Linked DNA regions of Callithrix jacchus. The protein of the gene in region 3 purifies or fractionates together with the protein of the main gene of each other region. This does not show direct contact. Links are inferred from orthologs where the notes say so. Each region holds a gene or a part of one and is shown on either strand. Other genes may lie near its edges.

What was found.
Region 1: the proteins of RNPS1 (region 3) and PRPF6 purify together in Homo sapiens (co-immunoprecipitation; 3 studies listed by BioGRID and IntAct, with this or other methods). This does not show direct contact. The link is inferred for Callithrix jacchus from reciprocal best matches to the Homo sapiens genes RNPS1 and PRPF6.
Region 2: the proteins of RNPS1 (region 3) and RBM25 purify together in Homo sapiens (affinity purification with mass spectrometry; 3 studies listed by BioGRID and IntAct, with this or other methods). This does not show direct contact. The link is inferred for Callithrix jacchus from reciprocal best matches to the Homo sapiens genes RNPS1 and RBM25.

The regions. Positions count from the first base shown.
Region 1 is NC_133506.1:59,507,649-59,510,970, forward strand, and holds the end of PRPF6 (pre-mRNA-processing factor 6), read left to right. Parts: intron 1-1,658; coding exon 1,659-1,785; intron 1,786-2,494; coding exon 2,495-2,647; 3' UTR 2,648-2,762; downstream 2,763-3,322. UniProt on the Homo sapiens protein: Involved in pre-mRNA splicing as component of the U4/U6-U5 tri-snRNP complex, one of the building blocks of the spliceosome.
Region 2 is NC_133509.1:108,087,244-108,090,892, reverse strand, and holds part of RBM25 (RNA-binding protein 25), read right to left. Parts: intron 664-3,649; coding exon 377-663; intron 1-376. UniProt on the Homo sapiens protein: RNA-binding protein that acts as a regulator of alternative pre-mRNA splicing. Involved in apoptotic cell death through the regulation of the apoptotic factor BCL2L1 isoform expression.
Region 3 is NC_133513.1:4,501,871-4,505,619, reverse strand, and holds the start of RNPS1 (RNA-binding protein with serine-rich domain 1), read right to left. Parts: upstream 2,707-3,749; 5' UTR 2,649-2,706; coding exon of another isoform or gene 2,647-2,648; exon of another isoform or gene 66-2,646; intron 1-65. Other genes in the region: uncharacterized protein LOC144578542, read right to left, coding at 2,798-3,749. UniProt on the Homo sapiens protein: Part of pre- and post-splicing multiprotein mRNP complexes. Auxiliary component of the splicing-dependent multiprotein exon junction complex (EJC) deposited at splice junction on mRNAs.

The DNA.
Region 1 (3,322 bases), on a different chromosome or scaffold from region 3:
TGACAAATGAGAAAGTCTTCCCATAGGGAGGTTTGTGTATGCCTGGTGCTTCTGCCCTGTGCATCCACCTCCCAGAGGGACTTCTGGGTGACACTCTGATAGGGAAGCCATAAAACCCTATAAAAGTCTTTGCTAAAGTAAATAAGTCACTCCTTGCTCTTCCCAGCCAGTGTTCTGTGTGTCTGCTATCTGGGTTTGTGTTCTTTAAATCAGTTTATCTAACACCAGGCAATTAAGAATACCACAAGGCTTAAAAAACAATCAGGTTATCAGAGTATGAAATTATTCCGTTTGGCAACTGAGACAAACCCACACAGCTGCCTGGAGTGGAGGGTTCCTCATGTTGGCTCCGATGCCTCTGGCTCCAGGGGAGGTGACCCTGAGGAGAAGGTGGCAGCAGCGCAGAGTCCCAGGCCTGCCAGTGTGCCCAGCAGCCAGCTCCCGCCGTCCTTTCTCTAGCAATGGGTGGGGGTGCCATGTATATTCTCACCTGGCCTCTTAATAGTCCAGCATGGACGTTTTTGGGCCTGGTTTTCAGGCGTTTATGTGTCTGGCAGGCACAGTAGTGTGAGAGCTGTGGGCTGCAGGCCCAGGCCCTGGCGCTGCCTGGAGCCTGCGGTCTCAGTGCTCACTGGGATTGCTGCTGGTGGCCGGGTGAGGCAGGATGATCCAGCAGGTGTCTCAGGGAGGAGCTGAAACTGCGTAATTTACCCTCATCAAAGTTGTAATTCAGTTATTTGTCAGGTTTAGTTTCATCTCCTTATATTTGACCCTGATTTTAAGGATTTTGAAGATCTTTCTTTGTGTGAATTTTTTGTTTTAAGAAATTCACTCAACTGGGGTTGCTGCTGGGGTTGGGCGTGGTGGCTCACGCCTGTAATCCCAGCACTTTGGGAGGCCGAGGTGGGTGGATCACGAGGTCAAGAGATCGAGACCATCTTGGCCAATATGGTGAAACCCCGTCTCTACTGAAAATACAAAAAATTAGCTGGGTATGGTGGTGCATGCCTGTAATCCCAGCTACTTGGGAGGCTGAGGCAGGAGAATCACTTGGACCCAGGAGGCGGAGGTTTCGGTGAGCCAAGATTTCGCCATTGCACTCCAGCCTGGGCAACAAGAGCAAAACTCGGTCTCAAAAAAAAAAAGAAACAACTTGAGCCAGGCATGGTGGCTCACACCTGTAATCCCAGCACTTGGGGAGGCCGAGGCAGGCGAATCACGAGGTCAGAAATTCGAGACCAGCCTGACCAACATGGTGCAACCCCATCTCTACTAAAAATACAGAAATGAGCTGGGCGTGATGGTGGCACCTACAGTCCCAGCTACTCGGGAGGCTGAGACAGGAGAATCGCTTGAACCCGAGAGGCAGAGGTTCCATTGAGCCAAGATTGCGCCACTGCACTCCAGCCTGGTGACAGAGCGAGACTCCGTCTCAAAACAAAAAAAGAAAGAAAGAATTTGGTTAGATTGGTGAAGGATGGCTTCAAGTTAATCTGGGGTAATTTCCTGATCAGCCCAGGCCTTGTTCCTCAGGCCTTCCTGAGTGGAGTGCAGGGCCGCCGTGTCAGGAATGAGGCTGATGGCCCTGGAGCCCTTCCCCTTCCCAGGGCACCCTCCTGTAGCCACTCACTCTGGGTTCCCACTCGTCTTCGGAACAGGCTGTTTTGGAGTGAGCGGAAGATCACCAAGGCCAGGGAGTGGTTCCACCGCACTGTGAAGATCGACTCGGACCTGGGGGACGCCTGGGCCTTCTTCTACAAGTTTGAGCTGCAGCATGGCACTGAGGTGAGGCCTTCTGGGACTTTGGCGGGGACTTCCACCAGCCCTGAGGGCTCTAGGAGGTGGCCAAGGCCAGCGTGACTCTGCCCGGGTTGGGAGGATAGACAGGGTGGGTGGGGCACGGAATCCTTGACACCTCCCCACGAGGCAGTCTCTGTCTCTACATCCGTTTTCTGGTTATAGCCTCACAGCCCCACACGCTGGAATTGAGGTGCTCAGTCCCTTGCAATGGCCTGTCTGCTGGCGCATTTTAATGAGTTATTTGTTGGCTGGGGCCTGTGCTCACCTTAGGAATGGGAATGGAGTTGGCCTTTCTCTTGGGGCTGAGCCTGGGTGTGGCTTTCTGGGAGAGCCTCGACAGCAACTCCCTCTGCTCCCACTTGTTCCCCTGGAGCCAAGCATTGTCAGAGCTGTGCTGGAGGGCAGGCAGGCTGTCCTCGTCCTCCCTGGAAAGTGGTGCCAGCCCATGTGAAGCCTGACTCCTTGTTTGGAGAAGGCATACGTGAGCACTTGTGTGAGACACAATTGGGAGTCCATGCTCCTCAGGAGGGGCTCCTTTGAGGAACACACCTGGAAGAGCTTTGCCTTCTGGTGCAGGGCCTGTGCCCCCTCACCTGCCACTTGGGGTCAGTACTGCCAGAGCCAGGTCTGCCTGGGGGCAGGTGGGGAGTGGCCTGGGAGGGCCCTTGCCTGAAGTGCCCTGTGGTCCCACCAGGAGCAGCAGGAGGAGGTGAGGAAGCGCTGTGAGAGCGCAGAGCCTCGGCATGGGGAGCTGTGGTGTGCCGTGTCCAAGGACATCGCCAACTGGCAGAAGAAGATTGGGGAGGTCCTTAGGCTGGTGGCCGGCCGCATCAAGAACACCTTCTGATTGGCCGGTCTCCATGGACAGGGCTTGGGCTGCACGGGGGAGGGCGTGTGGAGGGCTCTGGGCTGTGTCCTCCTTCATTATCATCCTCCATTAAAAGTTTTTATGTCTTGTGTCAGAGTGGGCGGCCTGCTGGTTTTCTCTGGGGCTCTTCCCTGGCTCCTGCTTCTGCTGCCCCAGTTGGGCCTGTCCTGGCCTGTCCCATGCTGTCCTGGGGTGGTTGCAATTGTCCTTGCTTGGGCAGAAGCCTCTTGCAGACAGCCAGTGTCTCACAGAGGAGACATTGGAGGTGCTGGGGTTCCCCAAGACTGTGGAGAAGGTGGTGGGGTGCAGATATTCCAGGTGAAAGCCATGTGTGCGGACAGCTGGAGACAGTGGGGACCGAGCTGTGTGCAGGCCAAGGTGCTCACAGGAGCCTGGCAGCTGCCTGCAAGAGTTTGGTCAGGGGACAGCTGGGGCTTCCCTGTGGTCTTGAGTGGTCCCTGCAGCTTTTTGGAACAGTAGAGGTCAGCTCGCCCAGGGTCTCTCCACACTGCCTCCCAGGCCTCTCAGGCACATGTTCAGTGGCAGTGTCACCAATAAGAGGTGTTCTTACTTTTGGAGATGAGTTTATTTTTGCCAATTTATCATTAGCAGTTAAACCCCTAAAGCACTTGTAACTGAAAGTTGTATTACCTG
Region 2 (3,649 bases), on a different chromosome or scaffold from region 3:
TGGCTCACGCCTATAATCCCAGCACTTTGAGAGGCTGAGGCAGGAGGATCACTTGGGGCTGGGAGTTCGAAACCAGGCTAATCAATATTGTAAATCCCCATCTCTACCAAAAATGCAAAAAAATTAGCTGGGCATGGTGGCACAAACCTGTAATCCCAGCTACTTGAGAGGCTGAGCAATAAGAATCACCTGAACCCAGGAGGCAGAGACTGCAGTGAGCCAAGGTTTGCCACTGTACTCCAGCCTATATGACAGAGTAAGAATGTCTCACACACAAAAAGATTCTCTCATTTCATGAATGCAAATGGTACTCTGGAAGACTACCTGGTAGTTCTATTAAAGCTATCAGGAAACAGTGACTTCTGTAAAGCCTTACCTTGATCGACTTCGATCCTTATTACGATCTGAGCTCCTTTCTCGATCCCGGTCACGATCTCTCTCTCGATCCCGATCTCGGTCTCTCTCTTTTGTCCGGTCACGGTCCCTATCCCGTTCTCGTTCCCGCTCCCGTTCCTTCTCCTTTTCTCGTTCACGTTCTCTTTCCCTTTCTCGTTCCCGTTCTCGCCTTTCTCGTTCCCTTTCACGCTCCCTCTCTCTTTCTCTCCGTTCTTTCTCAATTTCCTGTCTTTCTTTTTCCTTTTTGCCTTTCTCTTCTTCCAGTTTCTAGAAACCAATAAAAGCACTTTTAGAGTTAACTCTGTAGCTCCAGTATTCAGATATTTCCCGGCGCAATCCCCAATACTGGGAACAAAAACACCAAACCACTGATATATTAATATTAAATACTTGTGGTTTTATGTGACAAATTAAACTGAAGCAATCACAAGACTAGAAAGATTTCGTGCAAAACCATATACTCTACACAGACCAGGAATCTCCAATCTTGGATGCTGGGAGATCGTGTCAGGTGTGGCTGGCCACTCAATGACTATGTACTAACTAAAATGACCATGAAGAAAGTGGTTCAAAATATTTTCTATAAATACAATCACTTGGGTAAAACTCAACTCTGTCCATTATGGATTTCTGTAAAGCCACAAATTAATTAATACTAATTATAACCCCAGACTGCATATTACCTAAAGTTGAGGGTTTCAAAGGGCAGGTGGTGCAGAATACCCATAATCCAACTAAATAATCTCTGCCCTCCGATTTGCCCACCCTCCAAAAGAAACACAAGCTGAATTCAACCAAGAACTGCCTTATTATCTGTGGAAACATTTACTCCCACCATTACAAGATGGACAGCCCACACAATACAAAAAGTTTGAAAATCACTCACTTCAAGCAAAATATATGTAACTGTAATAGTTTCATTTAAAATATTTAAAAGCAATATACTTATACCCATTATGCCTGTAAGACAATAAAAATATATTTACAATGATAAATCCATCCTTGGAAGGAACGATTGTGCATTAACTTACAGATGCTGTGCTAGGACATGGATCGCCAACACTGGATTAACCTTCCCTACAAGCTATGTTTCTGGGAGGAAGAGCAAGTACATGGTTCACAAATAAACCAAATAACAAAGTCAGACCAAGTTTGTACCCTGACAAGATTACCAGTGTACCACACGGTTTCTACACAAACTCAGAAAAAAATATCCCAAACAGGTACAACAACAAAACACATTTATCCCTTTTGTTTCATGTTTAGTTTCACCAATATGAAATTTAAACTGCAACAATAAAATGTGCATTTTTCTTTTCTCAGTCATGTAATGCATTTAAAACAACTTTAAAAAGCAATCTTACCTGTCAGATACTCTTTTTCTCTTCCTCATGGATCAGAGAACTGATAGCAGATTATGAAAGAGAAGCTAATGTATGAGCAATATATTCAGTTGCTGTGCCGCTCTATATCAAAGTAGTAGAATGCAGGCAAAGCCAAAACTGAATACATTGAAATTACAAAGGAATGAAATGAGAAATGATAGAAAGAAGACAGAAACTGACAGCTATTAAAGGGGGAAAATCTCATTTCTGAAACAGTTCTAATGAATATAAAAATTTATATTGTAAAATGAGGCTAGACTATATAAAACTTACCTCAATGGCATACACTTATAAAGAAATTTGTTTATTTCTGAAATAGATACTTACAGAATATTTTAGCTGTTCCAATATTAATTTTTCTTGTAGAATTCCTCAATTTTTAATTCTTATTTCACTGTGCTACTTATATTCAGTTATATAAATAACCATTTGTTTCAGAACTCATTTCAAAAGTTTGGTTCTAAGTAATGAAAAAGTGAGTGAATCCAGTCCATATTAAATGTTTCCTAAAAGTTTACATATTTTATATACACACACACACACACACACACATATATAAATATATGTAATACATGTAAACATATACATGTATATTTTTAAAGACTGGAGAAAGGAAGTGAGGCGAATCTAAAATTATGTAAGAAAGTAATGAAGGAAAAAGGACAGATTAAAAAATCATAAATCTTACCTTATTCTCTCTTCAGACTCATCCGTGCTGTAAATGGACGCCCCCTGCCACGCTGATACCCTGACAGTCTGTGGTTATTTAATAAACTCATACCAAAACATGCAAAGGTTCACTGAGCTCATTTTTTGTTACTGGAGTTTCAAACAACCCTTTTAGCCAAACCACCCAATTTAAAAAAAAAAAAAAAAACTTTTTGGTTTTTCATTTTGATTTCTTTTTATTTTTAAAAGACATTCTGAAAATTCAAAACATTTCCTCCACTGAATAATACTAAGGCAGTGAAATGCCGAACAGATTCTCAAACTTTAAAGCAAATATATTTTTAAATTTTTCTTAAAACGTGATTTTCTCATCATTTACCAATAACATGACAGAGTTTAACAAATAAATAAAAACAAAAAGGGGGTAAACCACACACACAATCATATACCATTTTTAAGCTTACTCAGTCCTGAATTTCAGTATTATACCTAACCAAAATGATTCATCTAAAGTGATTTCCCACAGACCACCTTTTTTCAACTCTCAAAATTAATTTTGGGAGAATTGTTTGTGCTTTTAGACACATTTAATTCTTGAAAAAGCACTGTGTATGTGAGTGAGGGCTGGGCATCTGGATAATATGTGTTCATTGGCATTATATGTGAATTTGAGATTTTGAAAGCAATGGGAAAATGTAAGAATAAAACAGAAAATGAACATTTAACATTACACTGAGTAAAGATCTCTCAGTCTATCAGTAAGAATCAGCAACACCTTATTACCTCTAACATCAAAATACATTTCATGCAGTGTTTGCATTGCACCGTCCAAAAGCATCATTTTCAACACCAGCGAACATTCACAGATGCACTGTCATTGAGAGAAGCTTCAAATAGGCAAAACTCGTGAGTGGGATTTACTAGGCATAAACACCCATTTCCAAGCCAGTTACCCCTTTGCATATTTTTCTGAGGGGGCATCCATAAATATAATAAAAAACAGAAGCTCATACTTACATCCTATTCCTTGTTACTTTCCAAGCTGAGAGTTTCATCTTGCATTAGTCACCATATGATCTCTATCATAATGGTGGGGGTCAATGAATAGATTAGCTTTATGGGAATTTACAGTTCTTCCATGCATCTAAAATTTGGTAAGTCTGGTAACCACTGACCTACTTTTTAATATCTCCCCCACT
Region 3 (3,749 bases):
GAGTGTGTAGGGAAAACACATGCAAGTGTGCAATTTACTTCAAATAAAGCAGAAATGTAACAAACTTTTAAGGGTTTTTTTCGAGACGGAGTCACCAGGCTGGAGTACACTGGCACGATCTCAGCTCACTGCAACCTCTGTCTCCTGGGTGTAGGTGATTCTTCTGCCTCAGCTTCCTGAGTAGCTGGGACTAAAGGTGTGTGCCACCACGCCTGGCTAATTTTTGTGTTTTTAGTAGAGACAGGGTTTCACCATACTGGCCAGCCTGGTCTCAAACTCCTAACTTCGTGATCAGCCCACCTTGGCCTCCCAAAAGTGCTGTAATTACAGGCATAAGCCACCGCTCCCAGCCCTCAAGTGGTTTTTGTGGGCATTAACTGTATAATTCAACCTTCCTATGTGCTTAAACTTTTCAAAAATAAGATGTTGAAGAAAAAAAGTAGGCACTGAGGTTTCGGGAGAGACTACCTACCACGTAAGACTACCTACGTTTAAGTTTAGCAAAACGCCTGGACTGCAGCGTGTGCTCAAATAATGGTAACAAATTACTCAAAACAAACTGCTAATAAGCTATGGGCTCTATTTCAGAGGGACTGCTGCCTTCAGTATTTCCAGCCAGGTCTGCACAAGCTGCATGAGTTTTTAAGTAAAGCTCTCAGGATGTGAGTCTCAGCTACTTCTGTCTCACCTTCTCCAACCAACAGCCTGTACGTAAGCAGGGCACAGCACACTAATGGGGTTCTGGTTTCCCCATGCAGAAATGCCAGTGCTGAAAACGTGTTCTGACCAAGAAAGAAGAGCACCTGGCTTTGAGCTGTCAAATGAGTCATGGAGGGCCGAACATCACCTTTGCTGCTCTTGTCCAGGGCATAGTGTTTTGCCTCAGAACAGTGATGTTCTGCAGACACCCAGCAGGCAGTGCCCGGTATGGCTGGTGTCCTTGGACAAACAGTGAGTATCAGAGTATAATTCCCAGTCTGGAGCCAGGAGGCCTGGGTTTGATTTGAAGTTTTACTGTGCAATTTTGAACAGGTCACTTATCGTTTTTCAAGTTTCTCATCATCAATATGGAGACAACTACAGTTCCAACCTTACAGTTATGCAGGGCATTAATCAAAGGCTCAATACATGTGAGAAGCAAGGGTTTTATCTTCACGTCCAGAGGCTCCTTCCCCCCCCCCAGACACTTGTCTCCAAAGTCCCACGTAATTTCTGAACTCTCTGCAGGGCTCCCGCACCCACCCACCTTAGGATCATCTGCAGCAGCACTGTCCAACAGAAATAGTGTGAGGAGCCACAAGCAGAATCTCAAATTCCTTAGTAGCCACGTCACAAAAATGGGTGAAATTAATTAACATTTGACACAAATCCAAAATACTTTTCCATCAAATAATCAACATAAAAATCTAAAGGTTTCTTTTTTTGTTGTTGTTCAGAGTAAGTCTTCTAAATTTGGGGTGTGTTTTAACATCTCAGTTTTGATTAGCTGCTGTATTTCAACATGCTCAGTAGCCACGTGGGGCCAATGGCTACCTCACTGGACAGCACAGATCTAGAGTGCAGGTCACACCCGCATATTCCAGCCCCACCCCCTAGTCCTAAAGATCTGCCCAAATGTACTCTGTGAAATCAAACACCGCTACTTTGATTCGCTTCGTGAGATCAAGGAGCACCGTTCTTAAGCACTCTAAGAACCACTGAGAAAGCGGACGCTTTGCTGGGTGCGGTCGAATGCTAGAAAGCAAAGGTTGAGGTTCTCTGTTCACACAAGTTCAGGTACCGGCTCAGGACCTCGGTTACCTCCCCCATCCTCCGGAAAGGTGCGCGTCCAACAGCCAGAGAGAGGAGAGAACAGTTAGTTAAATCTCGAGGAGAGGGCGTTTCGGCACAAATCTTCAGAGCGCCTTCCCCATTTAAAAGTACATTTCAGGCACAGTTCATGCGAAATCAAGACAAAAAGCCTACTCCACGTTTCTCCTCCAGCAACCTTAACCTTCCCGTATCCACCCCTCCGGGGTTAACCCATCAAACGGGGCCAGGCCACCGTGCTCGGTCCATAGCGGGCCACATCCCCCAGGCCTAGCGCCGAGAACTGCACACGGGAGCCCGGGAAACGTTCGCGGAGTGCATGTTTGAATCAATGCCTCCGATGGGGGGATCGGCCAGCCTTCCACTGTATCCCACAAAGAAACTCCGCGCCCGCCGGCACCGGCCCGACACGCCGACCTCGCCGCTCCCCGTCCGCGTTCACTCACAACTCCCTTGTCCAGGCGCCGGGCCGCGAGCGCTTCTAGGGCAGGGCCTGGCGTTGGGGGCCTGGGTCTCCGGCACGGCAGGAGGGCCCCAAGGGCGGAAGCCGCGCTCCCCGCTGCTCAGAGTCCCACGGGCCTGGCTGGGCCGCCGCCGAACGGACGAAGCAGAGGCGCCCTTCCGTCCGCCGCGGCCCCGACCACTTCCGGGCCACGGCCACGACACCTCCCACCCCGCCCACCCCGGGCTACACTCTTTCTTTTTAGAGTCCGCACCGCGCCGCCATGCTGCCGCCGCACTGCGGGGCTGGGGAGTGGACCAGCTTCACGATGCTTCCTGCCGGGCCTGACTGGCAACCCCTAAAGCTCGGATGCGGTCGGATTCCGCCCCACTTACATCTTCCCGCCGCCGACACCTCCTCCTGCCTTTCTCAGCCGCTCAAGCCGGCTCCGCTCTGACGTCAGAGTTAAGGAGCGGGAAGACGCTGCCGTCCGGCGCGCAGCGATGACGTAAATGCCTGGGCCAATGGGCGCGAGCGGTGAAGTGTTCAGAGAGTCAAGGCGGCGTGTGTGAGCCGCGTTGGAGCGCTCGCGGTGTCTCCCCGCCGGCGGTGTGTCCCGGCCGGAGGAGTCTGTGACTGGCCGGGCCGGTTGCACGCTTGCTGCAGCGGGCACAGGGGTAGCCTGCTGAGGCTGGTAGGGCCGCGCGATGACCGAGGCTCGTCGTCTGGCGCGGAGGGGGTTAACGCGGCCGTGCCCAGTCCCTTTCCTTGCGCGGGTGCTCTGGGCCCGCCTAGGCCTCCTCCGGCCCCCGACACCGGACGCTGGGCCCCGGGCCCGGCCGCGCGGCGGCGGCGGCGGGGTAGTCGTACAAGAAAGGCGCGCGGGCTCTGCGGCTTTGCTTGGCGCGACGTGGGGACCCGCAGGGTGGAGGCAGCTCGGAGAGATGGGCCGGGGCCGGGCGTGCGTTCGCGTGCTCCAGACCTACCGGTGGCGTTTGGGGTGCCCGCGTGGACGCGGCCTCCACGCAGGTGGAGCTCCGCCGGGTGGGCGCGGCAGCTGGGCAGTGTGGGCAGGAGGAGCGACGAGTTTGAGGGTAGGAGATGGGGTGCACAGGGGGGCGTCTGGGGGTGGTGGCCCTGCCGCGGAGACCCGAGAGGAACGGTGCGTGTGACGGGGTAACAGCAGGGGCCGAGGTTCTCTGGAAGCGGGGAAGGTTCCGCGCGAGCTTCGCGGCGGCAGCACGGAGCGTGTGAACGGCGCAGCGCCGAGGCTTCATTCAGCTGCGGGTGCGGGGTCCCGGCAGGGAGAGCCCAGAGGTGGCGGCGCCTCTGGCTGGGACATGGGAGAGGGTGACGCCGTAGGGGCGCAGGCCCAGACACAGGCGGGAGGCTCCGCACTGGCGCCCCAGACGGAGAGGGCAGGTTGTGTTCACTGCTGCGCCTGGCGGGCAGTCGTTGCCCTGTGATTGTTTGTGGAGGGGTTGACGGTGCGCTCAGC